2 linked regions of the Yarrowia lipolytica genome follow. The protein of the gene in region 2 binds, or shares a complex with, the protein of the main gene of each other region. Links are inferred from orthologs where the notes say so. Each region holds a gene or a part of one and is shown on either strand. Other genes may lie near its edges.

Evidence for each region.
Region 1: YALI1_B15521g (region 2) and YALI1_F27663g share a complex: the UniProt entries of both Saccharomyces cerevisiae proteins name them as parts of the 7-subunit TFIIH core complex. The link is inferred for Yarrowia lipolytica from reciprocal best matches to the Saccharomyces cerevisiae genes SSL2 and RAD3.

The regions. Positions count from the first base shown.
Region 1 is NC_090775.1:2,758,580-2,774,599, reverse strand, and holds YALI1_F27663g (uncharacterized protein), read left to right. Parts: upstream 1-8,208; coding exon 8,209-10,566; downstream 10,567-16,020. Other genes in the region: YALI1_F27758g (uncharacterized protein), read left to right, coding at 1-299; YALI1_F27731g (uncharacterized protein), read left to right, coding at 1,046-1,078, 1,403-1,831; YALI1_F27716g (uncharacterized protein), read left to right, coding at 2,998-4,104; YALI1_F27701g (uncharacterized protein), read right to left, coding at 4,207-4,315, 4,361-4,485; YALI1_F27692g (uncharacterized protein), read right to left, coding at 4,655-5,368; YALI1_F27686g (uncharacterized protein), read left to right, coding at 6,000-7,028; YALI1_F27667g (uncharacterized protein), read right to left, coding at 7,417-7,884; YALI1_F27574g (uncharacterized protein), read right to left, coding at 10,705-16,020. UniProt on the Saccharomyces cerevisiae protein: ATP-dependent 5'-3' DNA helicase.
Region 2 is NC_090771.1:1,546,019-1,562,463, reverse strand, and holds YALI1_B15521g (uncharacterized protein), read right to left. Parts: upstream 10,342-16,445; coding exon 7,858-10,341; downstream 1-7,857. Other genes in the region: YALI1_B15624g (uncharacterized protein), read left to right, coding at 23-1,918; YALI1_B15592g (uncharacterized protein), read right to left, coding at 2,129-3,166; YALI1_B15587g (uncharacterized protein), read left to right, coding at 3,708-5,159; YALI1_B15560g (uncharacterized protein), read left to right, coding at 6,462-7,196; YALI1_B15509g (uncharacterized protein), read left to right, coding at 11,530-12,390; YALI1_B15482g (uncharacterized protein), read right to left, coding at 12,845-14,197; YALI1_B15475g (uncharacterized protein), read left to right, coding at 14,932-15,468; YALI1_B15460g (uncharacterized protein), read left to right, coding at 16,409-16,445. UniProt on the Saccharomyces cerevisiae protein: ATP-dependent DNA translocase. Component of the general transcription and DNA repair factor IIH (TFIIH) core complex. When complexed to CDK-activating kinase (CAK), involved in RNA transcription by RNA polymerase II.

The sequences.
Region 1 (16,020 bases), on a different chromosome or scaffold from region 2:
CCGAGACCACCACTTCACGGTTCTCCGGATACAACTCTCCTGTGGTTCAGACAGTGCTTGACAACCAGATGGTCACCACTAACACACATATGGTTCTGCAGGGTTACTTCGATATTCTCTTCCCCACCGACTTTGAGCTTGCTGCGCAGCTTCTTCGTCACGTGTGTGGCAGAGTGCCTGAGATTTCTACCCATCAGGAGTTCTTGGAACAATGGGCCGACCTTGATGCAACCACTACAAAGACCGGTGAGAACCCCATGACCAGTTTCTACCGAAACGCTGCCTTCCTCACCAATTAAGAGGGGCTACAGTAATCACAAGGTTATGATTACTGCTAATAGTCACGAGGGAGTTCGGAGGGGGGAAAAAAACATCTGATCTGTAGCTGTAGATGGGCTATATCTGGTAATATGGTGAATGCGTGACAGTCTGAAAATGCCAGCTCTCCACATTATCAATGCATATATGTATATAGAAATTTAATTTGTCAGTTAAGCACTAGAAGAATTGACAATAAAACCACAGTTGCAGGGTTAAATTACTCCACTTTTTTAGTGCGGATCGTGACGTCTCACCGCTGTTTTAACATCACCACTATTTATAGTTGGTCAGTGTGCCCCTTTTATGCACGTGACCGCACCAACTTACCCGGAAGTATAAGCTCCCGCAACGTACAGCTGGCAACACCTCACCCAAGTTCTCAGCTACACACAACCTATTCATTAAAAATGGTGAGTAAACAACGTGGAGTCAACCCGGATTTCGACCTGCGGGCAATGCAATTGGGCGAATTGGGCACTTGAGAGATCTGGTTGGAGTCTACAGAATGATCCTTGTGTCATAACGACGACATCGACGACTTGGAATTTAATGGCGCTTGGGGTTTGGGGTTCGGGACTCATGGCATCATGGGGGTGTGATAAGACGAGCATCGACAATTTGAACGATCCGAGAAAGACAGTCATGACACCACCAAACTACATGGCAACTGCAAGAATGATGACCCCCTTCTGGTGATGTCACTTTGTCTGCGTTTACAAGATTGATGTTTCAACCATGTTGCTCGAAAAGCACAATGGTGTGTCGTATGTCTCATCGGCTGTCACGGTGATACCCAAGCGTATGACCATCCAGCCACGTCTTTGCCGCCTCGCGCCTATTGTACCTTCTTTCGTCTGATTCTTGTTGGTTCGGCATATGACCCTCTCGATATGCGGCTTCTGCCACAAAGGCCCCAGTATTGCCCTTTAACTTTTGAAGCACGAGAACAATGGGGTGATGGAAAACATGCTCGCCGTTGTAGCATGCGATGAAGCAGGTCGATATGGAAGGGGAATATTCAGAGCAAGTGGAGATTTATATATGTGATGGAACACAACGTTGTCATACATAGCTAACTCAGTCCCGATCCGGTGTTGCCGTTAACGACTCTGCCCTCCAGGCTTTCAACGAGCTCAAGCTCGGCAAGAAGGTCACCTTCATCATTTACAAGATCAACGATGCCAAGACCGAGATTGTTGTCGAGGAGGAGGGAACCACCGACTCTTACGACACCTTCCTCGGCAAGCTGCCCGAGAACGACTGCCGATACGCCGTCTACGACTTTGAGTACGAGATCTCCAGCGGTGAGGGTAAGCGATCCAAGCTTGTCTTCTTCACCTGGTCTCCCGATACCGCTCCTGTCCGAAGCAAGATGATCTACGCCTCTTCCAAGGACTCTCTCCGACGGGCTCTTACCGGTATCTCCACCGAGATCCAGGGTACTGACTTCTCCGAGGTTGCTTACGAATCTGTTCTCGAGCGAGTTTCTCGAGGAGCCGGTTCTCACTAAGTATGAAATGTATATTGTGACATGTTTTATAATTACTCCGCCACGGTGTAGCGCTAGGAGGGGTGCGTTAAAGACGCTCCCTGTCAGTCTCAGTTTTTAGGCTGCTTCAGTGGGGTGGAACGCCGATAGCAATAACGTGTGCAACGTGCGTGAGACTAAAAAGTGGGTGATGTGATATCGACTTTTACAATCAGTGTGGCAAAGACGAAGAGAGGATATAAAAAAAGGAAATGTAGCCCTACGAAGCAAATAACTCTTTGTATAGTGTGGCTGGCTTTCTGAGTACGGCGGCAACCATCATTGACAGTCTATACGTGCTGGGCATTGGCGTGTCTTGGTATGGTTCTGCGGTTAGCCAGGGTTACTATAAGTTTTTGATAGTGCGAAAATCGCAGAGTGACTAGACACTGCCATGATGTGTAAGGGTTGATAATTCGCGTCTTTGGTCCTCGGTGACTAATTAAGATCTACCCCCGGGTGCCAAGTAAGAGACATGGGAAGGCTAAAAAACACAAATTGCTAGACTAATTAATTCTTGGCGAAATAAAGAGAGTAGCGACAAAGAGGCAGGTGTACGGGCGACAGACAAAGTAAGGTACCGAAATATAGTCCATGCTGGGGTTGCCTAATGGGACGAGGAGCCGAGGGCCGGCGTCTGGGACGCCCACAAACATCTCTAGAATGACCTTGAGCTGTGGATACGAGCCTCGTGGATAAGCTTCTTTATACTTGGGTTCATGACAGTGAGGCTGAGGGTCATGTGAGTTAATGTGCAAATCTTGGCGGATTATGCAAGGTGGTGGGTGTTGATATAAAAGCATGCAACCGCTTTTTTACGATAAAAACGAGCCGATCGCCTCTAGACTGGTACTCTAAAAGTCCCCAGGTGTATTTTTCCTGCATCTGCCATTCTTCTGGAACCTCTTTCGCCCAAAGGTTTCCTGTTGTGGACACAGCCGCTCGTTTCGTGCACATCCGTTCGCCCTCTGAATTGTTTTACTGACACATCGAAGTGCCGGTTCAAGTACAGACAGCTTACAGTACACAGACAAAGAACCTCCATCCATTTGTTTCTGTTTGCAGAAAGGGCCTTCTTAAACCTCCACACGCACAACATCTACATATCACCCGACAGCATATAGGTCTCTGCATCTACCTGGCCTAAAATGTCTACCACCGCGTCGATCACAATCTTGACAGGGACACCCACAAATACACCGGCTACGCCTACGACCTTCAACACTTTAGTCACCTCACTAACGGCCACTCTAGGACCCACATCAACTCAAAGTGGGCCTCCTTCTGGTGTCCCCACAAACCCAAACTCTCAGCAACAACGCAACACTTCTACTACACAGAACTATCTGTTCTTCATTGCCCTCGCTCTTGGAATTGTCTTTGTCAATCTCTGGATCATTCTGGGCATCCGGTTCCTATATCGACGACGCCAGCGACAACGAGCTGTGTCGGATCCTGAGAACCAATCTCCCGATCCCATGATTCCCATGATTGCCCGCGGTATGGTGATGACAGGAGGCCATCCCAGAGCCAGGCAGCGAAGGAAGCGACAAAAGAAGGTGGTGTCGCTGGCATTCATGGACGACAACTTCCCTATGACACGCTACGCCGACTGGAAAAACGGTACATACACCAACGAAAAGCGCGTGGACGAAAAGGTACTGGAGAAAGAAGTCGCAGAAAGAAACATGACAGAAAAGGAAATGGAGGCTTTCAGCGATGACGCTATTGAAGACTCCGCAAACCACACTACCATCGTCGTGGAGGAGGATATCGGTAATGTGGGATTTTTGTCGTTATCTAACTCTGCAGGTGCATCTGCGTTATCGCTCACGGAAACAAACTCTAGAACCGACAGAGTGGAGCCACCTTCAGATCCCGATACGTGTGCGATTTGCATCGAGCAGCTAGAGGACTGTGATGAGATCCGTGTGCTTAAGTGCAACCACGTGTTTCACTTCTCTTGCATCACTCCCTGGATGACTAATCGAAATGCGTCTTGTCCGCTGTGCAAGACACAATATTACATTCCCCCACCCCCTCCCATGCCTGACTGGCTGGCTAGCAATGGGCAGGTCCCCACACCAACTGTAGATACTAGGGTCACTAGTACAGCTACAGCCACCACCACGACGACCTCAGGGTCAGATGATAGCCCCTCATTGTCCTCGCAGACGCAGATACCTCTTGCAGAACTGCCGCCTGCAGCAACCTCTCGACTGTCGCGTTTCAAGAGGGTCATGAGGCTGACGTGAGCCAGTGTGCCCAAGATAATTCAGGCTGGATGATGGGTTATTTTTTCTTGGTTAGGCAAGCTACTCGCTAATTTTTCCATGGGTCTCATTGTCTATTATTTATTATCGAGACCTTCCCTCTCGCACAGGTTTTAACTGCAAGATCGCACATGGTACTTGTAGTGTAAATAGGATTAACTTATATATAGCTACTCCAGAACGAGAACAAGTACTTGTACGATAGAGAAATATAGGGCAAGTATATAGCTACTCGTACTTGTATGAGTGCTTATAGGGGTCTGCGCGAGAGTGTCTGAATAATGCTTCGCACAATCTGCCCTTATTCGATGTTGTGGCTGGCTCATCTCCCCACATGACCGGCTCATCCGCATTATACAGCATCGCAATTCAAACGGTGTGAGAATAAGGATATACGCAAGTTAAACAAAGCACACAGGGCGGACTGGTCAAGAACATAAAAAAACATCAATATTTATTGGCTTCATATATACAACACTTTGGTTTAAATAAATACAGGTGATACGTACTAAAGGTTCTTGGAATTGGCTGATTAAAGCGTGTCTCCAACATACTCCTCGCCAGGCACAATCTTCTTGTGATCCGCGGGGTTGGCGGCTGACTCGTACAGCGTCACGACGGGGGCTCGGTTAAGTTCCTTGAATTCGCCACGTAGACCAATGTAAAGAATTCGGGTCACGTCCTCGCCGTAGTTGTCCTCCACAAACAGCGTCAGACTCGTGATGTTGGACCACTGGGCCCGCGAAAGTGCATATTCAGCAATACCCTCTTCATCCAGAGACGACGACGTAGGGGCGACCTCAATGGAGTGATCCAGAGTGCCTCCGACCCCCTCGGGATGCTCGATCACATGGTTGGCAGTGAGATCGGAGGCGGTGGAAAAGTCGAGGTCATCTCTGTTCTTGAATAGCTTCATGTGTCGAGGGGCAGAGTCGTCGTTGGTGGTTCGAATGAGCAGCGAGTGGATCTTGCACAGACCCGTGAATGGCACGTGGATAAGAAGCTGCTCGTCCACGTCACTCTCCAGGTACTTGGAGGTGTCCAGACGGGACTCCCAGTCCTTGAAGACAGAGGCTCCGGCTCCCTCTTCAGACTCGTTCAGGGTTCGGATGCCAGCGTGCGAAATCCGATTATACAGAGTCTGAGCCGAAGAGGTATGGGGCTGGGGAACGTGACTGTGGTCGTGTCCATGGTCGTGGCCGTGGTCACCGTGATCGTGTTCAACGTGTTCAGAATGGCAGTCCATATGGTTCTGTTTGAAAGCTGGAGTTTAGGCTGTTTATGATATGCACTTGGTCCGCACTAACTTTGGATATTTTGGTATAAGATTCGGTATCGTTATCTGAGGTTATGAGCACCGGTGAGATGAAGGGTGTGCCTGAGGCCGATACTGCGTAGTGTAGAATGTTGGTAGTGGTAGATGCTTCATATTGGGTTGCGTTTTTTTTCCCGGATATATTTAGTGGCGATATTCTACTGCGAGGGTCTGAAACAGGCTCCATGACTAGCTCAACATTAATTGCTAGGCATCCGAAGTTCTAGACCCTTCTTGTGGGCCGTGCGCAAGAGGAGGAATTTTGAGTTATTCAACCTGGAAGAGATTACTTGATGTTTTAGGCTACTGTTTAGTTAACGACTAGGAAAAGCGTCAGTAATGCCAATCGGGAAATGAGGTCGTATAGCGATACCAGGAAGGTGGTAAGGATCTTGGTCTACGCCAGCTACCTCATTGCCTTGCTTCTGTAACACCCTCTTACTACAAGAGCAACGCTATTTCTCTGCTGGCTTAATGAGCTGTCCGTCCCAAACTCCCCCACAACGCAAACTCAAGTGTGTACGTGCATGAAATTTCACACTCATCACATTATCACACCACCATGGTCCACAAAGCCGAGTACCTGGAAGAACACGAGACCCAGATCTCCTCCATTCTGAGCGGCGGTTACGCCCACCCTCTGTCTCGACAGTGGCAGCAGAAGAACCGCCTCACCAAGGATATGTTCATCTATCCTCTTTTCGTCACTGATGATCCCGAGGAGGAGACTCCTATCAGCTCTCTTCCCGGCCAGAAGCGATGGGGCGTCAACAAGCTGGTGCCCTACGTCGACTCTCTGGTCAAGAAGGGCCTCCGATCTGTCATTCTTTTCGGTGTTCCTATGAAGGAGGGTGTTAAGGATCTTGAGGGAACTGCTGCGGATGATCCCGAGGGACCCGTTATTCAGGCCACCAAGGCTCTCAAGAAGGCCTTCCCTGACCTGTTTGTCATGTGTGACGTTTGCCTGTGCGAGTACACCTCGCACGGTCACTGCGGCGTTCTTCGAGAGGACGGAACTGTTATCCGAGACACAACTGTGCGACGTTTGGCTGCCGTGGCTGTCAATTACGCCAAGGCAGGAGCTGACTGTGTGGCACCCTCGGACATGATTGACGGTCGAATCCACGACATCAAAAAGGGCTTGCTCAAGGCCGGTCTTGCCCACAACGTCATGGTTATGAGCTACACTAAGTTCTCCGGAAACCTGTACGGACCTTTCCGAGAGGCTGCCTGCTCTGCTCCCAGCCACGGAGACCGAAAGCGATACCAGCTCCCCGCTGGCGGTCGAGGTCTCGCTCGACGAGCTCTTGCTCGAGACCTGGCCGAAGGTGCCGATGCCGTCATTGTCAAGCCTTCCACCTTTTACCTGGATATCGTGGTGGACGCTGCTGAGATCTGCAAGGACGTGCCTATTGCTACCTACCAGGTTTCCGGAGAGTACGCCATGATCCACGCAGCTGCCGAGAAGGGCGTTGTTGATCTGGAGGTGATGGCCTTCGAGGCGGCCTACGGTAACCTGCGAGCCGGAGCCAACCTCCTTATCTCTTACTTTACCCCCGACTTTCTCGAGTGGTTGGACCACCACCACTAAGGTGACACTACTAAGACGACAAGGCCCGATGACGAAGTAATGAGACCATGCCCCTAGAGTATCTAGATAATTATTGATGAAGAAACGAGAAGATATATTACAGCAGCAACGCCCTCCACTCGTGGATCCAACTACAATACAGAAAAAAGCACAAGTACAGTCCTTAATAGTGTATGAAGTATCTACAGTACCGGTACTTGTACATACTGTAGCGTCTGACATTGAAGGAGGTACTGCTGCACTCGGACAATCCCACTACGAACAACAAATCGAATAGGTAACATTCTATACATAATTTAGTCCGACTATCCTAACCATCGGACCCTACTGTCAAGATTAGTTGACACCCTCTTCCTTCCTTTCTCATGCTAGTGTACATTATAAATAACTAATCCTCGAGCTTCTTGACGTCCTTGACAATCTCGTCAAAGTTCTCCTTGTACTCGACCTTGGTGTCGGCCTTTTTACTCTTGCCTCCGCCGGGAACAATCATGACGGTGGAAGTGGGTCGCTTAGTAGCACCGGCAGCTCCGAGATCCTCCTTGGAGGGGATGAAGAGGTAAGGAACACCGTTGTCCTCACAGAGAACGGGAATGTGAGAGACGACATCCATGGGAGAAATGTCTCCAGCGATGATGACAAGACCCTTCTCGCCCTTTCGGAGAGCCTTGACAACCTCCTTGACACCTCGCTTAACGTGCTTGGCCTTGGAAGCCTTCTTCACGGTCTTGAGCACCTTCTTGTTGAGCTTCTTGGGGGCAAGAGGCTTGGCGAAGGGCAGCAGAGCCTCCATTCGAGCGTCGTAGTTGTCGACCTCGTCAATCTCAACGGTGATATCTCCCTTGTCTTTGCCCATTGTTGTAGTGTGATGTGTGAGACTGCAGGATGAAAAAAAAATTTAGCTACAGCGCTTGAAAAAACTTATTAGGGTTCAGAGGTTATGAGCATCCAGGAATACATGCACACAAGATCAGAATTAAAAAGTAAACAGATAGACAGCTTACGGACATGATTACTATTAATGATACCATTATTGGGTTATGAGCCGTTTACACACTCCTGATAAATTTTTCAGATCCCCAGCTCCTCCCAAAACAATCTACCCTAACCACGACGCCATGCATTACACAACCTTGATATATCAGTAGCACCATTCGTTGCGACAGATCAACCACCAGAGATGAAGTTCTACATCGATGATCTGCCGGTGTTGTGGCCATACCCTCGGATCTATCCCGAGCAGTATGCCTACATGTGCGACATCAAGAAAACCCTGGACGTGGGAGGCAACTGCATCTTGGAAATGCCTTCAGGAACAGGCAAGACTGTCTCCCTGTTGTCTCTGACAGTGGCGTACCAGCAACACTATCCCGAGCATCGAAAGATCATTTATTGTTCCCGAACAATGTCGGAGATCGAGAAGGCTCTGGCTGAGTTGAAGAACCTCATGAAGTTTCGAACTGAGACTCTAGGCTTTGAGGAGGACTTTAGAGGGCTGGGTCTGACCTCACGAAAGAACCTGTGTCTGAATCCCAATGTGCGATACGAAAAGAAAGGTTACATTGTCGACGAGAAGTGCCGAGCCATGACATCTGGAATTGCCAAGCAGAAGCTGGCTGCAGGAGAAGACGTTACTCTATGTGAATACCACGAGAACATGAACGACATTGAGCCTCACAACTACATTCCACCTGGTGTTTTCACCTTTGAGGACATTTTGGCGTATGGCGAGGAGCACAAGACATGTCCTTATTTTACTGTGCGTCGAATGATGGCCTTCTGCAACGTCATCATCTACTCTTATCATTATCTACTCGATCCCAAGATCGCCGACCGAGTTTCCAAGGAGCTGAGCAAAGACTGCATTGTCATTTTTGATGAGGCCCATAATATCGACAACGTCTGCATTGAGGCTCTGTCTGTCGACATTACTGAAGACTCCTTGAAACGAGCCACTCGGGGAGCAAACCATCTGGCCAAGAAGGTCAGTGAGGCCCGATCCAGCGACTCTGAGAAATTGAAAAATGAATACAACAAACTGGTGGATGGATTGCGAGATCTGGAATCCGGAGAACAAGAAGATACGTTTCTCGCTAACCCTGTGCTCCCTGAAGATCTTATTTCGGAAGCTGTGCCTGGAAACATTCGAAAGGCAGAACATTTCGTGGCCTTCTTGAAACGATTCATTGAATATCTCAAGAGTCGAATGAAGGTGCTTCATGTCATTTCCGAAACCCCTGCATCGTTCTTGAAACATCTTCGAGATTTGACATACATTGAACGAAAGCCTCTTCGATTCTGCGCTGAGCGTCTATCGTATCTGGTCAGAACCCTCGAGTTGACTCACGTCGATGATTACACTGCTCTCAAGGAGATTGCTGTGTTCGCCACCTTGGTGTCTACCTACGACACCGGCTTCCAGCTCATTCTGGAGCCCTTTGAGACCGATCAGGCCACCGTTCCTAACCCCATTTTGCATCTTACATGTTTGGACGCCTCCATTGCTATCAAGCCTGTCTTTGATCGGTTCTCAAGCATCATCATCACATCCGGTACCATCTCCCCTCTAGATATGTACCCGAAAATGTTGAACTTCGAGACTGTGGTTCAGGAGTCGTACACCATGACACTGGCACGGCGAGCCTTCTGTCCTCTCATTGTGACCAAGGGTTCAGACCAGGTAGCCATCAGTTCTCGATTCGAGATCCGAAACGATCCTTCAGTTGTCCGAAACTACGGTAACCTTCTGATTGAATTTTCTAAGATCACACCTGATGGCCTTGTCGTCTTCTTCCCTTCATATCTTTACATGGAGTCTATCATTTCCATGTGGCAGACTATGGGTATTCTGGACGAAGTGTGGAAGTACAAACTCATTCTGGTCGAGACTCCTGATGCTCAGGAAACCTCTCTTGCCTTAGAAACTTACCGAACTGCCTGCTCCAACGGTCGAGGCGCTGTCATGCTCTGTGTCGCTCGAGGAAAGGTTTCGGAAGGTATCGATTTCGACCACCAGTTTGGAAGAACTGTGCTTATGATTGGTGTTCCTTTTCAGTACACCGAGTCGCGTATCTTGAAGGCTCGTCTCGAGTTTTTGCGAGATAACTACCACATTCGAGAGAACGACTTCTTGTCTTTCGATGCCATGCGCCATGCTGCCCAGTGTCTGGGACGAGTCTTGCGAGGTAAAGATGACTACGGTGTCATGGTGTTGGCTGACAGACGTTTTGCCAAGAAGCGAAACCAGCTGCCCAAATGGATCAACCAGGCCATTTTGGATGCTGACACAAATCTGTCCACAGATATGGCTCTAGCTGCAGCCAAGAAGTTTTTGCGAACTATGGCCCAGCCTATGAACAAGGAAGACCAGGAGGGTGTTTCAGTGTGGTCATTGGAGCAGCTTCAGGAGTACCAGGGATCCAAAAAGGATGGAGGTTACCGACTTGCCCCCGAGGATGCCATGGATATCGATGAAAAGGATCTTGAAGAGGGTCTCAGAGAAGTCGAACAAGCCAAAAAAGAAATTGCTGCTCGATAACAACGGTACGTACAGATATCCGTAGCAGCATATAATATAACAAGCATTATTTAATTAAAACACAAGAGCAGTCCACAGGCACAGTCAATGCAAGGTTATACAATACAATAATAATATACATAATTTATGATCATCCTCTTACTCCTCCATTTCAACCTCTTCCGCTTCCTCACCCTCAGCCACAGTCACTGTGAACTTCTTCTCGGCATCCGCATCAACATACGAGTCGCAAATGCACCAAACGTGACCACTGACCTCTCCATGCTCGGGGAACGAGACATCGATGTTGAAAGTCTGGGACTCGAGAGGCAAGGTGACTCGCTTGATACCAAAAATCTGCTTTGTCTTGGTATTTCCAACCACGATCCACCAGTTCTCCGTCTTGGGCTGGGGGAACAGGGGAGCAACCACCTCCAGATTAGCACGCTCATCCTCCTCGTACACATCTCTCTCCACAGTGACCTCGATGGTTCCGACATCGTTAGTAGCGTAAGAGTCAGCAAGCTCATAGCTGAGCTGAATACTTGGGTAGGCGTCCACAAAGTCAATGACACGCTTGAGTTGCTTCGCAGTAAAGTTGAGAATGCCCTTGAGCTTGTCCTCGTCCAGCTCGGAAATGTCTCCGACTGCCTCAACCCCCGCCCCCCTGAGATCGTCGATGATTTCGGGAGTGAAAAAAGGCACCTGTCGCAGAGGCGAATCAGACTCAAGAGTAGCTTGAACAACCATTTGGGACAGGTCCATTGCGTACATGCATGATTGATGGCCCTCAGAAGCCAGAAGATCAACAGAGGCAGCCAGCAGGGTAGGCAGCAGCTGGACAACCTCGGCCTGATCAGCAGTCAACTCCGAAGGGAGATTCAGCCGAGCAATATGACATTGAGCCAGCACAAAGGCCTTGAAAGCAGGAGTGAGAAGAACAGCAGAGTCCAGCTCGGGAAGCTTCCAGGGGATGTGGCCATAAAGACGTCTCAACAGAATGTCCTCGTGGTTTCGGATGGGAAGAGAGTCAAACTCAGCTGCAGTGGTGACAGCCTGCAAGATAGATCTATACTTACTCTTGGGAGAGAGGGCAGATGTGAGAGTAGCCATAGTATCGAAAGACACGTTGTAGTAGGATGCAATGGATGCAGCATTGAGAGGCTCCAATCCACCCTCGTCGTCCATCTCGACCATCTTTGCCTCAACAAGCTGTTCTACAGTAGTCTCAGCGAGCTCAGAAAGATAGACGTTGAGAGCATCATCTGATCGGTCAGGGACACCGTAGAAACCAGGATTGGCATGCAGGCGTCGGTACAGGTACGTGTAGGTTAACCAGGCCACAGTGTCATCCATGGACTCTATCACTTTCTCACAGATCTCTGCCAAAAGAGCATCATGTAGGGATGCTCCCAAGTTGGATTCCACAGGAAGAGAATCGTTGAGGAACCGCAGGTAGTAGTCCTTGGCAGCAGCGGGAGTCAGCACCAGGGCGTCGTTGGAAGCCTGTCCAATCATCTGCAAGACCGTAGAGATGGGGTAGTTGACGTATCGGTGCTCAGATCCCTCGTAGGTCTGGGTACCAAGAATGACACTCAGTTGAGAACGAGGCGAGGTCCAACATTCCTCACGGGTAGCAATGATTGTGGAGATGGACTGCTCAGCATACAGTGCCAACACAATCTTACGGTCTCTGGAAGACATGCTGGGGTAGAGGTGGCCAATACCGCTCTGAATGGCCTCCTTGAGAGTGTTGTCAGTCACCTGTGCCATAGCAAGCTCCAAATTGGAGTCCTCAGGAACAGGAGGCACCAGAACTTGCTCGTCCGCAATCGTGGAAAGACCAATGGTCACATCCACAAGAGTTCGACGAGAGTCCACAAAGATCACAGTCTGGGAGTGCTTGGGGGGAGCAAGCTCAAGAATGGCATTGTATGTAGGTCGAAGGAAAGCCTGCATGAGAGAAGGGTGATGAGGGATGGACAACGACTGAATGTGGATATTGGTAGGAGAAGCAGTCCAAGGTTTGAAGTTGTAGGGAGTGGCGTCAAGCCATCCAGCCATATCTACTCCATCGGCAACAGGAACACCCAGTCCGACAATTCTAAGAGGTCGTCCAGCACCACTCTCCTGCAACTGTACATCGATATATCTCATTCGAGAAACGACAGTCTCGTAGGTACCATCGCCGCCAACCAGATGCACGTCGTCGGCAATGAACAGGCTTACAGCTCTGACAGCAGCTCGCTTCTGCCACCGTCGAGACAAAGAATCCCACTGGTTAGGAGTGGCCAAAACCACATCGGAGGTGGCCAGCTTCCGTAAGTCAGCAGCAAGCTCACCAGACAGCTTTGAGAAGGTCTTTCCTCCATGAATCTCGTTCATTCGCTGACTCCAATCATCGTAGCGAGCATCAACTTGGGCTTGTGTGGGAGCCATGTACACAGTCTTGGCATCAGCATCTTCATTCCACAGTCTCAGTAGAGCCAGCTCGGCGAGAACAGTCTTACCAGACCCAGGAGGAGCTCCAACAAAGACGGAGCCGTCGCCCTCCACAAGAGGTCTGAACAGCTGCGATTGGATCTTGTTGAAGAAAGAAAAGTCGTAGAGCCCGGCGCAATCGGCTCGCTTTAGCTCAACAACAGGGACAGGCTGCAGATCAATAAGCTGAGTAGGGGCTGGGAACTTTCCTGGGAAGACAATGTTTCGCAAAGGCACAGCCAGACGAGCGTCGGCGTGCAACCATCTCTCGGAAGACAGAGTCACAAATAGATGAGGAGGTCGGGGGTCAGCAACAGTGACAGACACCTCAATTAAGTGAGTCTCAGTGGCGTAATCTCGCCGTAGGGTCCACGAGTCCGAGTAAAGAATCTTCTCACCGTCTCCGTCTTCCACAGTCAGAGCAAAGGGCTCGGAACCATGGTGAATAGAAACGTCCCACTCAAAACTGGGCTCCACCTCAATCTCCAGTCGCACGAGAGAGGCAGTAACGGGCAGTGCGCGAGCAGACAGCTTGAGCTGGGGGAACTTCTGAAGCATTCGGAACACAGGAGTGCCATATCGAGGAGTTCGGATAGCTTCTCCAACCTGTTCTGCATTCTCCAGCGATAAGTACCGCTTCCAAGGCATAGCAGAAGCCTCAATTTTCTTGGCAACCTCAGCAGGGCAGTCAGGAAACTGACGGAGAGGACAAGAGGATAGCCACAGACGCTGCTCAACCATCTTGCACACGTCAAGGGTAATTCGGGCTAGTCGAGCCCATTTCTTTCTCAGACAGAACTCATAGATGGCTCGGAACAGACGCTGGGCACTTTGGGTCACGTATATCATATCGGATACCAGTGCAAAGCCCTCGAGACTCAGTCGGGAAATGAAAGCCTGAAGAAGAACGTTGATCTTGGCAGTGGAGTCCTCAACGGACTCTCGAACAGGGATGGGTGCCGATTCCAGCAACTTTCCCAACTCTAGCTTCTCTTCTTGGCGAACTCCCACATATTTGAACTCCTCAGAGGCGGAGAACACCTGGAACAGCTCCACAATGGAGAAATGGGGCTTGAGAGAAATTCGGTATGTTCGCATAGACGAGTGAGTGATGTAGTAATGTGCAGCCACTCTACCGAGATCGTTGGCACGCACACGGCCAGTCTTGGTGTCGTAGATGACGAGACCAGACTTGGCCAGGTTGCTGAGAGCCGAATGAACGAGGTCGGCACGTCGGTTAGTAAGAGCGGCATCATCGGGATTAGATCCAACAAGGTATATACCAGGAGAAACAAGCATTCGGACGTAGAGGTAAGTATAACCTAGCCACTGAATACCATCACCCACCGAAGAAACTGTGCCACCGACAACCTCTGCGTTAAGAGAATCCTCCAGCCGTGACATAAGCTGAGACTCAATAGGGAGTTGTTGGTTCATCAGCGACAGATAGTAGTTGAGTTCCCCGTGGGTAGTAATGATGATACCTTCACCAGAGTCGTCGTATCGAGGTCGACCAGCACGACCAAGCATCTGGAGAACGTCCTGAGGAGACAGCTCGGTCCATTGACCCTTGGCAGGATTGTAAATTTGAGTACCCTTGATGATGACGGTATGTGCGGGAAGATTGACACCCCAAGCCAGAGTGGCAGTAGACACCAAAACACGGACATGTCCCTCAGCAAAGAGCTCCTCCGCAGCCTTACGGTCAACCTGTGCAAGACCAGCATGATGGGTAGCGAGACCAGTTCCGATGATCTCTTTCTGTGTGGCATCGAGTTCAGGATCTTGGGCACGCTCTGCAAGAGTTCGACGACTGCCATCAGAGGCACAAAAAAGAGGCAGCAGGCCCTCGTCCATGGCACGATCTCGCAGCATTCGAGCTGTCTTGGCGGTCTCCTTTCGGGAGTGCACAAAGACAATCACCTGGTGTCCAGCCTTGATGTTTTCAATCACTTTGTCGAAGCATGCGTCGTTCATGGCTGTGTATCGCTTGAAAGCTTTCTTCTCGGTGATACCAAGGAACCGCTGTCCCAGAGGACAAGGTCTAAAAGTGGAATCAAAGTAGAAAAGACCTGTCTCACCAACTCGAAGAAACGATGCGACATCCTTGAAGTTGGGAAGCGTGGCAGAGAGACCAACGATTCGAACAGGGTCTCCAGTCTGCTCTGACCGACGTGTTGTTCGCGCAACAATGCTTTCAAGGACAGGTCCTCGCTCATCATGCAGCAAATGAATCTCATCAATAACAATCAGTCTGACGAGGTTGGTGTAGCTGGAATCGGCAGCCTTTCGGGTGATGACATCCCATTTTTCCGGCGTGGTCACCAGCAGCTGAGTCTCTGCAATCTGCTGCTTAGTCAGATTATGATCACCAGTCAACTCGGACACTTTCAATCCCATGGAGTTGAGTCGCTTGCTGAACTCTCGGACCTGCTCCTGGACCAGAGCCTTGAGCGGGGCAATGTACACCATCTTGAAGTCATTGGTTCTAAAGCCTCCATTGGGAGCTCTGAAATGAGACAGGCACCGCAGCATGGCCAGGAATGCAACATTGGTCTTACCAGCACCGGTGGGTGCACAAATAAGCATGTTGTCGTCAGATTCGAATGCACAGGGGAACACCTTGCTCTGAATTCGATTGAGAGACTTGGTATCAGAAAAGCCAACATGTGTCCAAGAAGGCATATCAGCGATTGATACCACCTTCTCATTAGCATCAGGGATAGCTCTTTCAGGAGCAGGAATGACAAACTCTTCGTACTGACTGGTGCTGTGTTTTGTAGTGTTTGCTGGGAGCTTGACCTTCGAAGATGTCAGGAGTCTAGCACCCTGATCAAACACAAGTGACTGTGTATCAATGTATCTGGGAACGTAAGTCTGAGAAGCATCTTCTGTGACGTCCATATCCACATCTTCCGAAGTCTCCGTTTCACCGTGTAGCTCAGAGACGAGAGATGCCAGTCCCAAAGACGTCATCTGCTTCTTCACAGTGTC
Region 2 (16,445 bases):
AGCAGCGCGTCATACTATCCCAATGAACGCCTCGGCGCACAAAAAACGGCTGTCCATGATGCCGGGCACGTCGTCGGCGTCTAGGCCATCTATGGCAGGTCTGCCGCAGCGAAACAACCCGCCACCACAACGTGAACCTGCTACCCCAGCAGTATCTGAGCTCATGAGGAGCTCACGACGAAGCATGGCGTTTGGGCGTAATCCACGACAATCATCATTTGGGCTCGTACCACAAACTCCCATGGCGCCCATGCACACGCGTGATCCACGTCCAGTGCGCGACCGACACTACCAACAGCAAATCTCACAGCAGATCTATGAGTATCTGGTCACGAACCACTTTGAGCAGGAAACCCGCCACCCACTGAACCAGCGGACGCTCAGCAACCCCACTCAAAAGGATTTCAAAACTATGTTCGAGTGGATCTTCCGACGCATCGATCCTGGATACCCGTTCCACAAGAGCATCGAAAACGAGGTTCACGCGGTGCTACGGGCAGCCAAATACCCGTGGCTCGATAGCATCACGAAATCACAAATTGTTGCCGTGGGAGGCCAATCATGGGCCTACTTTTTAGGCATGCTGCATTGGATGGTGGAACTCAACACGACGATAGAGAAGTATCACAATCATGACTACTCAGGAGATGATGGTCCGTCGTTGGTAGACGAAATCTTCAACAGACACGCACGTGAGTCGTACTTTGCCTATTTACAAGGCGATGACAGATTTGCCCGTCCTGATGCAGAGCTCTGTCTCGCTGAAGAGAACGCCGAGTTCCAGGAGATTCTTGCCGAACAGAGAGCTCAAAACCCGCTACCAGAGGGCGAAGACGATGAATTGGATGAGGAACTGTCACGTCTGGAAGCCAAATGGGGCAAGATTGAGGAGGCGAAACTACTAGGGAAGAACCTGGCCGACGATATCGTCAAGTTGGGTGCATTTGTGGATGCTCGAAAAGAACACAATGCCCGATACGCTTCTCAGATGTCCCAGGCGACAGCAGAAGAAGACAATGTGACGAGCGAGGTGGAGTCTCTCAGCCGTCAAAAGCTGAAACTGCAACAAACAATCCAAGACCAGGGTCTATCTCCCGCCGAGCTGGACAAGCTGCATTTGGATATGGAGCGTCAACAGAAGGCGTTGAACTCACTTGATGAGATAATCGATGAGGGACGTCAGGTTGTGTCAAACAAGGAGTCTACTGCCCTGGCAGTCTTTGATGCTCTTGATCGTGTCATCAAGGAGTATACATCGTCTGTTCTGTCCTACAATGCCTGGGTGGCATCAGACAATGACTTGCCCGAGATCCCAGAATCAGTCTATTTGATTGATCTGCGTGAACCTCTCTCCGAGGAGAACCTGGGACGCCACCCTTCTGTGATCCTGGGTGGAGTTGATCCTCGTAACCAGATTCGACCTGAAATTGTGAGAATCTGCAACATGGTCACTTCCAAGGTCAAGGCCCTCCAGGAAGAGGCTCTGAGACTGCAAGAGGAGATTGAGACCAACCAGGAGAAGCTCGTTTCACAGAAACGACACATTGGTGAGCTGGAAGCCAAATCTCGACGCCTTCGAGAAACCAGAAACGCCCTCGAAGACTCCGCTTCCATGAACGAGAACGAAAACTCCCAAAACACGGAGCGACTGGAAAACCAGTTTGTCCAGGCTCAGAGTGAAACTGCTCTTGCTCAATCACAACTCAAGGGTCTCCAGGTGCGACTCCAGGACGCAGAGCATGAACGTAACAAGCTCTCTGTGGAAGTCCAGCAGGCCCGAGAACGCCTGTCACAGGATATTCTCAAGCAGGCTGAAGTCATGGTGGCTTTCAAGGCTATGGTGCAGACCAAACTCCAGGACTTCGAGATGTTTGTTCGTGCTAACGTGGAGGAGGAGATTCGAGGAGACCACAACTAAGGTGATATTACACGCGGCATTTGCTCGTGTGTAAATGTATTTATATGTATTATATGGTGATTTATATTTATTAGCGGTTACGTAGTTACAAGAGGCACGCGTACGTACACACCCACGTGGTCTTTGGTCCACAATAAAACATTAAATAACATGCACAGTGTCTATATAGATTCCCTGTTGTGGGATAACTGGGAGATGCAAATGCAAGTCTCACGCGGCAGCAGGGACTGTAGAGGACTCCTCACTCAACTGCTCGGCGATTGACGGCTGGCCACGAACCTTGGAAGACACATATTCTTGGACGTTATTCAGTCGCTGTTGCAGAGGGGGGAATTCGGAGCTGCTCTTGACAGGCTTAGGCGGCCGCTCAGACTTCCATGCGCCCATGACGCACGACAGAGCAGTCATGATGGCTATGTCCCGGTGGATCTTGGTCTCGTCAATGGTAATGTCGAACCGCAATCGCTTGGGGTTCTTCATGTTTACAAAAGCAATCCGCTCGCGAGTTTCATGGATGCCAGCATCGAGGTTGGTGCATTTCTCAAGAAATTTGGTAGTCGAGTTCCATTGGTACATGGGATCTGAGTTTGTGTAAGGAGCCGTGATCTCTCCAACTGCTATCGCAGGGCTTGGGGCAGAGTAGGCCGCAGCACGCATCGGGTCAGCAGATGGGGTGTTGAATGGGTTGCGTGACTGCCAGACCTGTGGGGTATCAAGATCGAAATCAGAGTCATCAACCTCACCACCACCAACCTGGGCAAACAGCGTAGGGTTCAGAACTCCACATTCATCGTATGACGGCAGAGGGTCCGAGTTAGATGGACGGGGAATGTTGGTCTTACGGAGAGAAAATTCGTAATAGCGACCATACTGACGTTTCTTGCACACCACCTTCTGGAGGTCACGAGTTTCATCACGGATGCAGAACCTCGACCCCAACGATGCAGTGCTAAGAGACGCCACCTGGACTCGGTCATCGAAACACAAGAGGCTCCAGTGCTTTGCGTGACGAGATTCTCGTTCAAGTGTGTAGATGGGGACATCCCATTCGTCCGAGATGATCACCTTCTGCATCGGTGCAGCCGGGTCAGTGTGGATATGATATGTGTTTGCGCGCACTGACAGCGGGATGATGTACGCTGCGTTGTGTTCTCTGGATGACTTGTATGCCTTGTGCACACTGACACCACCCATGGCTAGCGACACGACACCGCATGCAATTAGAGTACCAGCCACAGCAATTTCCATGTTTGAAGCAGTAGCAGTATGAGGTGATTGGTATCGACTTAAGAGGGTAATCTGTAAAGGTGGCTCTGTCGGCGTTGGTATCTGTAAAGGTATCTATCTGTTGAGTATCCGTGACAGTGGTGCTGTTGTGGTCTGTTGTATGTGATGTGGGTGTATCTGTGTCAGAAGTGTGGCGCTTTGTGTAATGAAGTTTTCGGTATCAAATCTTGATGGTATCAGTTGTGAGTAATATCAGTGATACTATCTATAGTTCTGTGCGAGCAATCTGAGGATGTCTCTCAGTTTCTGTGGTTCGACTAGAGCTGGTGTGTGGAATGTGTTGTGAAGGAAGGAAAGGCAAGCTGAGTTCAGCGACCCCATAATAGCTGTAAGTACATATGGGTACGAGTCTAAGTGAAGTTGATTGCCGTTGAGGTGCGCACGTGAGCTTATCTGAGTTTTGAGTTTTGAGGCTGAAAAAAAATATGCGAGACTGGAAAAAAATTTGAAGGTGCAGATAACAGTTCTTTTCATACATTTACACAGCTCAACGATACACACCATGGGTAGCAAATCCGCCACAAAGGACATTTCCAAGATCAAGAAGGCCGACAAAAAGGACTCCAAGAAGGCCGTCAAGGCTACTGAGCCCGCCTCTGAGAGCGGAGCATCCACCTCCAGTGATGAGTCTACTTCCAGTGATGATTCTTCGGACTCTGATTCTGACTCTAGCGACTCTGACTCCAGCGGTTCAGATTCCTCCGACTCTTCTGATTCGAGCGACTCTGATTCCAGTGACTCTGACTCTGACTCTGACTCTGAGGATGAGAAGCCTGTGAAGAAGGAGGAGACCAAGGAAGAGAACGAGTCTTCATCTTCCGACTCCGATTCTGACTCGGATAGCGACTCTTCCTCCTCGTCTTCTGACTCCGATTCTGATTCTGATTCTGATTCTGACTCCGATTCCGCGGACGAGAACGAGAAAAAAGAGACTAAGGAGGTCAAGGAGGTCAAGGAGGACAAGAAGGAGGCCAAGAAGGAGGCCAAGAAGGAGGCCAAGAAGGAGGAGTCTTCTGATTCCGGTTCTTCTGAGTCTTCCGATTCTGACTCCGATTCTGACTCTGACTCTGACTCCTCCAGCTCTGACTCCTCCAGCTCTGACTCCGATTCTGACTCTGACTCCTCCAGCTCTGACTCCGATTCTGACTCTGACTCATCCAGTTCTGATTCTGACTCTGACTCCGATTCTGATTCTGATTCTGACTCCGATTCTGACTCCGACTCTGATGACGAGAAGGAGACCAAGAAAGAGACCAAGAAAGAGACCAAGAAAGAGACCAAGAAAGAGACCAAGAAGGAAGATGCGAAGGATGTTGAGATGAAGGATGCTTCCTCTGATTCCTCTGATTCCTCTGATTCTTCTGATTCTTCTGATTCTTCTGATTCTTCTGATTCTTCTGATTCTTCTGATTCGGACTCGTCTTCTGATTCGGACTCTTCGTCTTCCGATTCGGATTCTTCCTCCGACTCCGACTCTTCGTCTTCCGATTCGGATTCTTCCTCCGACTCCGACTCTTCTTCCTCGTCGGACTCTGACTCCTCTGACTCTGACTCGTCTTCTTCGTCGGACTCTGACTCTGATTCTTCTGATGAGGAGGAGCAGCCTCCTGCCAAGAAGCGAAAGGCGGAGGAGATTGAGGTGGAGTCTCTGGTTATCAAAAAGCCCAAGACTGACTCCCCTGTGGACAACAGCTACGTGGAGGCAACTTTCGAGGAGGAGGGGGGACGAAAGTTCTTCTCTCGAATCGATCGAACTAAGATCTCCTTCGAGGACCAGTCTCTCATGGACAACACATACAAGGGCGCCGCCGGAACTTGGGGTGAAATGGCCAACGACAAGCTGATGAAGGTCCGAGGAAAGGATTTCACCAAGGGCAAGAACAAGATGAAGAAGGGTGCTTACAAGGGAGGATCCATCACCATGTCTTCCGGCAGTTACAAGTTCACCGACTAAAAGGACGTCTGACTGCTACTAACTTATTATTGTATGTCAGCCGGCCACACCAGCATTTTATAATTATACATCGTCGGTTGGCGACCAAGTGTATGCTGTTAGATATAGAGAATACACGTGTACGATATTGACGTTGATTCGGAATAGTAACCAATGCATTGTAGTTGCTACGGACATACGAGACAAGTGTTGTTCCGAACAATCTTGGAGTGAATCGAATGTACAGTATGTACACAGCATGTACATACTGTACGATACTTTGTAGTTCTATACTTCGTTCAAGCCAACTGTATTATTACCCTGAGAGGTGACTCAGCCAGTCAGAGTAGCGAAGTACTGTAATACATGACTGTGAAGTTTTTGAAACCGCCGATACACAAACAGTGATGATTTGGTCCTATGCATCCCACTTCCATTTGTACTTGTATTAATACCGTTTACACACCCTTTCATAATCGTCACTAACATCAGTCTACTATATATGCAAAGTCGAATGTCTCCCGAGTATGGCACGTACCGCACCGTACCTTCAGTCACTGGATGGAACCTTGACAACCCATAGAAAGGAACTAACACGTCACAGACCCCACTCTGTTCGTACATTCCACGCCATGGTAAGCTGTAGATTGCCTATTGCGCCCTTTTTCATGCGGCTAAAGGACATGATTAACATGATCCACGAAGGTGGCAAATACATGCGTCTGCAGGCCAGCTATAAATAGACAGATGAGAGGAACGAGCAAGACGAGGATAGCGATGATGTGTTATTAAGCTAGATCACATGACAGAAAGCAAGATTGTAATAATTCATTGTTTTTTCTGGAACATTTCAATAGTGAGAAGCGCTGTCTATGCAGAATACTTACAGCATCTTCGAGTAAAACAATTCAGTTGGGGTTCTACTGTATGTACCATGATAGTAAAGCCACCAAAGATTAGCATTCGGCATTAACTTTCAGTCGTACAGAAGCTTGACAGATGGGGACATGGGCGTACGACAGTGGAAGAGGGGGGAAGTGTAGTTAGAGTGGTTATAGAATTCTGTTTGAGTGGTATTGGGGACCGATTGGAAGGCAAAAGAGCACTTTTTGTGGCAAGCTACCAATTCGGTGACAAAATAGAGTCCCTACAGTATGTCAACACCCCCAAATCTCTCTTATGAGCCTCCCTCTCGAACTACTTCAAGGTGTGTTCACCCTCCCAGGTTTCGAAGCTTAATCGGACAGATAAAGCACTGGCGTATCCACATCATCTTTGACAGGCAGACCTCCTACCCAGGCTCCAACGACCACCATTCCACCCATGATAGTGCCGCTAATTATTGTGGCCGCCGCAGTATGTTCGGCGGGCGCACTTGCGTACAAGGAGCGCGATGTGATCTGCGATTACGTGGAGCACAAGCTCATGGAGAGACGGCTTCGCAAGCGAGCTTCTGCCGTGCCAGCCTCATATGATCGGGATGGAGGGCACTCAGATTCAGATCAAGCGACACAGACCCAGACACATACCTCTCAATCACAAGTGCATTTGCATTCGGCTGTCGGATCAGAGGAGCCACACAAGGACGACTACACCGAGGAGATTGAAATGTCATTCAGAAGACGCAACAAGAGAGGCACAAGCATAGGCTCGGACAAGACGGTGGGCTCCAGCGACCCCAGCAACTCCTACAACTCGTTTCACATGCCGGAACCGCCACAATCGGACACTCAGCAATATTGGAGCAGCTCGAGCCAGTCATCAGACACCAGTGGTTCGGTAACACAAAATAGACGAGGATACCCACGTCAGACGTATGGGCATGGCCATGGACAGCAGCGTGCAGGGGCACGTCCTGCCTCCATTGTTTCAGAGCAGCCATCGCTCAGTTATTCAGCCAACAGTCATGGGGAAAGCACATGGGGCTCTTCGGCATCCGATATTTCGTCCGACTACGATTTTGCCGACGAACGGACTTCTTCCGAGGGAGAAAATGTGGTTGTAGTTGACCCTTCAGCCCCTTCCCTGTATGAATACCACGACGTGAATACTCCATAAACATACATTCACAATACATTAGATACTAACTGTTACATACCAAACAAGATCCCGGCTGGGTTGTGTACGATACAAAGTAATTGCACAGGTAATGGCGAAGATGCGTCCAGCGTAAGTGCCGTACCATACTGTACGAAATTACTTGAAGTTACTAGAAGAGTATTTTGACATCTATACAGCTTGTGAACAAACTCAGTCTTGATCGTATCGCAAAATATTGTACATAGCATGCAGGTACATACGAACACGATGGGACACACATGGATAAGGAAACAACAGCAAAAGACAAAGAATACCAGAGGGCGACTACGGCTCATGGTAACCAAGTAACCATGAGGCCACGAAACTTCATATTTATATATCATGCAGCGTTACCGGGCGCAGACCCTAGCTTTACACCTCTAATAGACCAAGTACGTCTACTGCCAAACGTGCAAAGATTATCATCACATATGAAGAGTTCGCCCCTCATCGACTCAAGTGCAACCGACGTTTCGATCTCGCTCAGAGAGAAGCTTCCATCTATTTATTGTCAACCCTCTTAATGAATCTTTAAGTTACCTGAACTTGTATCTCGTCAGTTTTGTAATATTCGCCACAGTATATCAACCTTCTCAATGTTATGTCTATCAATTATTTATATATGCTACAAGTAGAACCCCTATCTCTTTCCGGAGTACAGCTTCTTGACAAATGCACTCTGCTTGGAAGGCTTTCGCAGATCCTTGTTTCGGTTCTTGTTGGTCTCAATGTATGCCATATCTTCTCCACCAGCCAGCGATGCCAGAGAACCGGTGGTTCGCTTGGCACTGCCTCGCTTGTTGGAAGAACCTCGGCCCACAAACGAATCTGCGTTGTCTCCTTCTTCGAGAGTGGCAGCGTCCTCGTTCTGTAACAACACCTCCTGCAGCAGCTCTCGTCGCTCACGAGCAGAAGCATAAGCCAGATCGGGCAGATTCTCCATTCCATGCAGATGTGTAATCACCTTGAACGCATAACCCTGATCGACCAGGAAGGCCTGTCTTTTAGTTGAGTAATACATCTCCTGGGTATCCTTGGACACTAGCGAGTAAAAGAAGGCATTGAAACCCTCATCGTTACGTCGCTTGGCTCGCAGAATACGACCCAGACGCTGAGCCTCCTGACGTCGAGAGCCGTAATGCGACGAGATTTGAATCAGACATGTAGCCTCGGGCAAATCGATGGAAGTATCTCCGACCTTGGACAAGAAAATGGTGTTGACCTGGTCATTGTACTGGAAGTTCTTCAGAATTTTCATTCGCTCCTGTTGGGGAGTGCCACCGAAAATGAAGAACTTTCCAAGCTTGAGTGCATAAGCCTTGAGAGCATGGACGTTATCAGAGAAGACAATGATCTTGTCACCTCGTTTTTCGTGGTAGTTGATGAGAAACTGGGCAGCCTGAAATTTGGAGGGATTCATAATGTAGAGTAGCATTCGCTTTCGAGCGTTCTCCTTGAGGTACTCCTGGTAAAACTCTGAGGTCATGGGGCACCACACTTCGGCACACTGAACGTTGGCGATATGACCCTTCTGGGCCAAGTCCATCCAGTTGGCCTCGTACAGCTTGGGGCCAATCAAGAAATTCAGGTCGTCAATCTTGTCATCTTCTCGCACCAGGGTTGCAGTAAGACCCAGCTTTGCGTGTGCGGCAATGTTAGTAACGACCTTTCGGAACATGGCGGCGGGCACGACGTGAACCTCATCCAGAATGATAAAACCCCACTCTCGAGACTGCAAGAAGTCCATCATCTTCTGCGAGTCATGGGATCGGTTCCGGGTGTTGGCTACCATTGAGTAAGTAGACACAACGAGACCAGCATCACCAGAGAACTTCTCCTTGCTCTCGGAAGTGAACACAGCCACGTTCTCAGGCTGAATAGTACACCACTGCAGAAACTGCTGTCTCCACTGCATGACGGATACGGAGGAGGTGCAAAGCACAATAACGGACTTTCGGATGGTGCAAGCAGCTGTGATACCGACCAGAGTCTTGCCGGCTCCACATGGCAAGACAATGATACCAGAACGGGCTCGTCCATTACCAAACATTTTAGACAGCGACTTCTCCTGATAGGGTCGAATCTGGGTGGACGACTTGAGGTCGATATCCAGATCGGGGTTACCATGATCATTTCGGAAATCATACTCTTCCAACACAGGGTAGTCAATCTCCTGACATCGCTTCTTCACAGTTTCGACTGAGTCAGGTGCAATCTCGAACGAGTGAACAGCGTCCAGATCGTCATCATCATCGTTCTCAATACCAACAACATGAGAGAAGATATCCTCAGCGTCTTCGTCAGCCTTCTTCTCACCGTCCCTTTCTCCATCCTTACCTTCCTCTTCCTTGGGCTTCTCTGTACCGGGAATCTTAAGATCGCCCATCTTAGGTGCCGACTCAGTAACAAGACCGGAGCCTGTGGTGGACTGTTCCGAAGCCTCCAGACGCAGAGCACCGATAACAGGGTCCTTGAGCAGCATCTGCAAGACGTCTGCCTGTGAAGATTCCACAAAGTATCGATTATGTTTCAGAACCAACTTGACCTTACCATAAGACTTTGTACATGAGTGGATGAAGTTGATGATACTCTTGGGGACTGGGACCTTGGACAGTCGGTTGAGAACGGAAATGATGTCAGAAGTCTCCAGACCCACTGAGACAGCCGCGTACAGAGAGTAAGTGGTGATTCTGTATTCATGAATGTGCGAGGGACGAGAGATGGGTTCTGCAATGGTCACCAGGAAGTCCTGAGCCTGCTCTGCAAGTGGCGAAAAGGATTCCAGAATGATTCTACCGTCCTCGGGGTTAATCCACAAGGGTCGAGCGGCATGGTCTGGCTTCAGCTTGAGGTATGAGAAGTCGTGCTTACCGAAGATGTTGGATACACTGTCGGGCACGTAGTCGTCAGGGATCTCCGAATAGGTCGAATGCACCTTGGTATCGAGACCTGATGTGGCATCTCCAGGGTCCTGTTCCTTCATTTTGATCTTAAGACGGGTCTGAGGCACCTTCTCGTATGTCTCATCGTCGGAATATGAATCGTTGGAGTCGGAGAAGGAGTCACTGTCGAGATTGACGTCGTCAAACCGACGTTTAGAAGCGTCTCGCTTGGATCTGAGCATTGTGGATGTTGTTAAGTGGTGGGTGCTGTTGGGGTTGCTGTTATGTGATGTTGATGATGCTTGAGAATGCAATTAGTGATGTAATTTTTAGTGTATGAAGATGTGAAATTGGTCTCTGTGTGAAACTTGCTGCTTTATTTCGTCTGTCTGTGTAGCCTGTGAATCAGTGTCAATGGGGTATGAATACGTTGTTTCGCCACTGTCGACCAGTGTACACTCCAGTCTGAACACAGTTACCTGCACGCTGATTCCAATATGCAAGCTGGGAGGAGTTAGGGCTTTTTAAAGTTTGGAAGATTTTCCAACACTATAAAAGGGCTTTCATGTTCCATCTTACTTCTTCTTTAACCATGACACCACTATAGACAGTACTGACTGGATAGGTGGGAAACGTTGGATGTGGAGGCCGGAGGAGCTACCGTTCTGGTAGAGACGAAGGAAGCTGCAGCCAGTTCGCGTGGCCAACCGTTGAAAATAACTTTCAAGTGATTTCTCGGTGTCTAGAGGAACCCGGGCTTTTTAAGAACTTCTTGGAGCTTTTGCTTTGAACAAGGGGTGTCAGAGAAGTCCAACATCTTTTTATATAATCGTGGTACTGTTACTGTAGCCCTTATGGCTGGTCGTTCCAATTTGAGTCAGAATCTTGATGTCTGAGTCACTTTGGTATCAGAGCACGAAGAATTCATCACATCACCAGTGTGTACAGTACACATACTTGTACGCTCAGCGAGAGCTACAAAATACGTACTGTACAAGAATGCGGTACGCTTGGAAGATGTTCTTCTCATTGTGGTTTGAAAGAGCTGCTTCACATTGACTTATTGCAAGAAGTTGATGCGAGGCACGTCTATTCAGCATCTTTTGTTCCATAACTGTCATTGTCAAGTGACGTTGAACTAGTTTGTTATCGATGGTTGAAGGTGACTCCCATATGTTTTGCATTAGCAAATAAGTTGCAAAACAAAACAAAACAAAGGCAATAACTTTCCCTTCGCATTCTATCTACACAATCAATCTATTTAAACGCCCATCCACCTCTTTAATTAGCTAGTACTTGTAGTACACTTCCACACCTTTTACTCATCAATCTGGTTCCCCATGAACCCTGATTCACTTACGCTCACACTGCATAGGCGGCGATTGCTCAAGCAGGTCTTCCTCTGTCTGTCTTAATCTTTCATCACAACCATGTCTTCCAAGCGTGCCGTCAAAACCATTGTTTCCTCTATTCAGAAGCTCTACCCTCGAGCTCTCGCAGACTCCTCTTGGGACAACACCGGCCTACTACTGGAATGCCCTCTGGACACCGAACCTGAGAAGGAGAAGCTCAATGTGCTGCTCACCATCGATCTGACAACCTCTGTTGTCGACGAGGCTATCCGAAACAACTCCGGAGTTGTTATGGCCTATCACCCTTTTATTTTCCGAGGCCTCAAGTCTATCACCCAGTCGGACTCCCAGCAGCGATCTCTGCTGCGACTTGCCCGGGCTGGCATCTCTGTCTACTGCCCCCATACTGCCGTTGACGCTGCCGTTGGAGGTGTCAATGACTTCCTGATCGACGTAGTCTCTCTCGGAAAGGAGAACGAGGCCTCCCGGGAGGTCTGCCAGCCCGTAGATGGCGTCCAGGGACAGGAGGGTGCTGGCATGGGCCGAGTGGTGCGTCTCAAGGAACCCATTACCTTCTCCGAGCTGCTGAAGCGAGTTAAGACCGGTCTGGGACTCAAACATGTCCAGGTTGCCCTTACCGAAAAGCACGAGAACCCTGAGGCTAAGATCTCTTCCGTGGCCGTCTGTGCAGGTTCTGGAGCCTCTGTTCTGCGAGGTGTTGATGCAGACGTGCATTTCACTGGCGAGCTTGGCCACCACGAGGCCCTAGGTCTCATTGAAAACGGTACCTCTGCCATTGTCTGCGGTCACTCCAACACCGAGAGAGGCTACCTCAAGACTTTCCAGACTCTGCTGACCAAGGAGCTCAAGAACCAGCACGACGGGGAGGTTGAGGTCATCATCTCTCAGACCGACAAGGACCCTCTCGAAATTGTCTAAGGGGATTGTCTACAAAAAAGGGGATGTATATAGTATCGAACGAATGGATGATGGAGTATTGAACGATGTAAGATGTGAGTACTGTACTGTAGTTATCGTCCGTTTCAATACTGAATTGCAGTGATTAGAGGGTTCTGAGCAGTGTATAAAATCTACTCTTTTGCAATAATTACAATGATTACTATATATTCTCTAATATCGTAGTGTACCTTTGCAGCTCCATCAGCATACAGTCATAAAATACATACTAACGTCACCGATATGCGTTGCTATCCTCTACCAAGTAGTATGTAATTTGCAAAATAGCTAAGCATGCCCATACTTTACACACCATCAATCCTCCTGGTACAAGTAGTACGGACACCCATGCCCATACTTTGTTATCCCTGCTTGCTTTACTTCGTAGTTGAAAACAACCGGAGAGCTGTCTTCCCTCATGCAGCACTTGTCACGTTTATGCCAATCGTATGGTGTAGTCCTCTCCACTAGTGGTAATGTATCGAACCCAAGGGTAAGAAGTGTACTGCAGCTTCGGCTCGACAATCTTCAGATATCGAACCTGAATACCCGAGGTAGTAAAGTAAGGAATGGAGAACTTGACTTGGATGGGTCTCTTGCTCTTAGCCTGCTCATCAGCGTCCTGAACGGAGGGAAGACCCAACTCCGCTCGCATGGAGAATTCTCGTCCTCCTCCAAACTGCTTGATCTTCCACGTGACACATGCCTTCTCAGGGTGCCACTTGATGGAACCTGCGGTAGCAGCCAGCTTAGGCGAATCGGCATCTTCGGGAACAGGAATGTGGATTTCGACGTTGTTGGCCGTCGATCGCTTCTTGAATTGGCCACGGGCCTTAGCCAGAATCTCAATACGCGTGTTGGAGTACTTGTTGATCTTGCAGTCAACCCAAATCAGCGGCTTGACGGTGGTGTTGAGGCGGTAGCTCATGAGCTCAAACTGGCCATCCGGAGGGATGAACGAAATAGTTCTATCGTTCTCAAATCGCGAAAGTCGCACACACTGGTGGAACTTGACGTCCTCCATCTCGATGCTCTTTCCTCGAGATGCACGAGCAGATCCGCCCGATCCGCCTCCCCCAGCACCGGTGTTGCTCACATGGTCAAACAGCACCTTGTCGTTAAGTCCCAGTCGCAGTTCAGGCATACCAGAGAGGTAACATTTCATCTGGACAGAGCCGAGAACCTCAGAACGCAGAACCTGGCCCGAAGGAGACATCAGCAAGTTGACAGCCTCAACAACATCCAAAAATGCCTCGTTCTTTCGGTACTTGATGCCTTCGGAACGCCAAGACACGGCGTTCGTGACAGCCATAGGGGGTCTTGGTTGCTCTTTTGGCACCTGGGCGATTTCCATGGCGATTTCGAGAATGTGGGACTTTTGGGTGATGTACTCCTTGAGGATCTTTGTGTCGGTGGTCTGTGGGAAACCGTAGTCCATCAGCTCGTCCAACAGCTCGTAGATGAGCACAAAGTTGTCTCTGATTGACTCCTCCTCTAGACCCTTGAAGTATTCTGTCAGCACCTGGACGACCCGATGCAAAAACAGCAGAATCTCGGCGGCATTAGTGTTGCGCTTCGTCAGAGCCAGCAGGTACAGGTTGTTGTGGGTAATGTACAGGTAGTTGACTCCCTCATGGGTGAAACACGGAGGGACGACAGGTGACTCCTCCTCGGCCTGCAGAAGCAGCATGGGGAACTTGTCGACAGCCGACATAGGGATGTCGCCGCGGTAGTTTCGCGATAACAGAGGCTTTCCCTTGAGGTCCAGGAAGAAAATTGCCGACGCCATTGTGTGCTGTGTGGTGTTGTAGTGAATGTGGTGATACGTGTGAGTTTTGACGTGGAGGTAATTTTGAATCACGTGATGCACACTTTGGAGAGAGCGTAGTTGGGTGGTGCGAGGAGATGGAAAAGTGAATGTTGGTGGAATTAATAAAGAGGGGCCTGCGGTGTCTTTGGTGTTGTTCTTTGACTAAATATGAGGGGGCCTACACGTTGGATGAGTGTGCTGTTTTCTACACGGATTATCGTTTTTCATCTTTGGGCTTGGGAATGTGGCAGTGTCCGGGTTGGGAGATCCTGACTAAGAGAGATTATGAGGAGGGCATAAGGGATAGGTTCAAGAATGATTGCATTGATATCATCGTAGCTCGCTGTGTGATATCATTGACTCAATTGCTTCAATGTAAATTGCAGCAGTCCCTGGAGATATGCCAATGTGGGTACTATGAGACCGCACCGAAGAGATTTTAAGTACTCGTACTTTTATATGCCACCAAACGGAGACACTAGAGAGCTCGCATTGGATACAAAATAAGATCCTACTTGTACAAGTACAGTATGTACACTACAGTACCGGAAGTTGTTTCGTAACACTGCACACTGACAACGAGATGCTTACTTGTCTTCTCTGCGCGTGTATTTCCTTGGGTAAGGTTCTGAAGGGAGGACGCTTCAGAGATGCAGGCGCTACAGTAGGCCAAGTTACACTGCTCTATCACCACATTTCAATGACTCCTTGACATGTCTGATCTGACTAACCTGCTGGCCGAGTTGTCGCGTGTGCAACCTGCAAACAGTACGCCTTTCTTTACTCAGAAGGACCCACTGAAAATCACCACCTATGCCGATGCTCTCAAATACACAGTCCATGAACTCACGAAACGGCCTGAGTTTCTGACTGAGGTGAAACGGCTGATGATAGAGCAGCAGAGACGACTGGCCCAGCTCGAGAAGGAATACAATGAGATCGATGCGAAAATAGAGGCCCAGAAACGTGACTTTGAGAAAGTCGACAACATCCTAGCATCAGTAGGAATCGGAGGAGGAGGGGGGGGATCCAAAAACAAGAAGCCACCCACGAGGGAGGAAGCCGAAAAGGCATTCCATGCACATGCCCACAAGACGCTGACAAACATGTACGATTACATCTACAGGCGTTTTGAGGAGCTGAAGATCCCTTTGTTCTACACTAGTCCTGAAGCCAAGGCAAGAGGAGGAAAGCGAGTGAGAGAGGGCCAGAAGGAGCTAGTTGAGTTTCTCGAGATTTTAGTTGAGTAAAAGAGGTATTCGTTAAAGAAAGATGCAGAAAAAAAAAGAAAAAGATGCGTGAATGCAAGCATACCAAGCTTACAATGATCAATAATGACCAATGCCCACACATCTGTCAGCTGCTGAACTGCAACTGGGAACAAAGGAACTCGTACTTGAACGACAGCCAGAACTATTATAGAGGTGGAAGCATTAAAAAAAACCACACTCAACTCCCTGGTCCAGACTGCATGATCCTGGCGCAACTTACACCAGTCCCGCCCCATAAATGGCTTTACGTAGGAGTGAGTTTCATAGGAGACAAGAGTCAGTAAGTAAGAGGTTTATCGACACAGCTTGGCCCATTGCAAGACAACCGCGTAAGTCAACTGACTGAAAAAATTCTATAGACTTCCCCATACACACTCATCTTCTATTGTCTCATCTGGGCAACGTGCCAAGACAACGGTCATGCAGGGAAGCTAAGAAGGGCTGAAATAAATCTAGATGGTGTGTGTAAGTGGCGTGGAAAGCGACGTCCTAGGATTTGAGAATTGAGCATAAAGTCTTCGGTGCAAGAGGGGTGATCGAGGTGAGCTTGTAGGGTTACATTCGGAAGAAAAGCCGTGCGATGGTATTCATAGAGAGACGCTGCAAGTAAAGTCCGAGAAAGGGATGGGGAAGAGGGTCGTATCCAGGTAAGTAAAAGAAACAACAATAAGCTGGTAACACCAAAAGACAACAACTAGTACAAGAGACACCGAACGATATTCTGTACTGACATGTTCCTCAATTACGCTCCATGCTCAATACGTTGCAAGTAGAAGATTTACTGTAGAGTGGAACTACTGTGAGCTGTAACGATAAGTTTGAGCGAAGAAGACGAGAGTAGAATATTTTTGTCGGTTATGTACCGGTACGACTTAGCAATTGTTGTACAAAGTAAGTATATCCCCTCATTGCTCTAGGCATGGTGTTGGAGACTGAGCTGCTCCATATTATGCCAA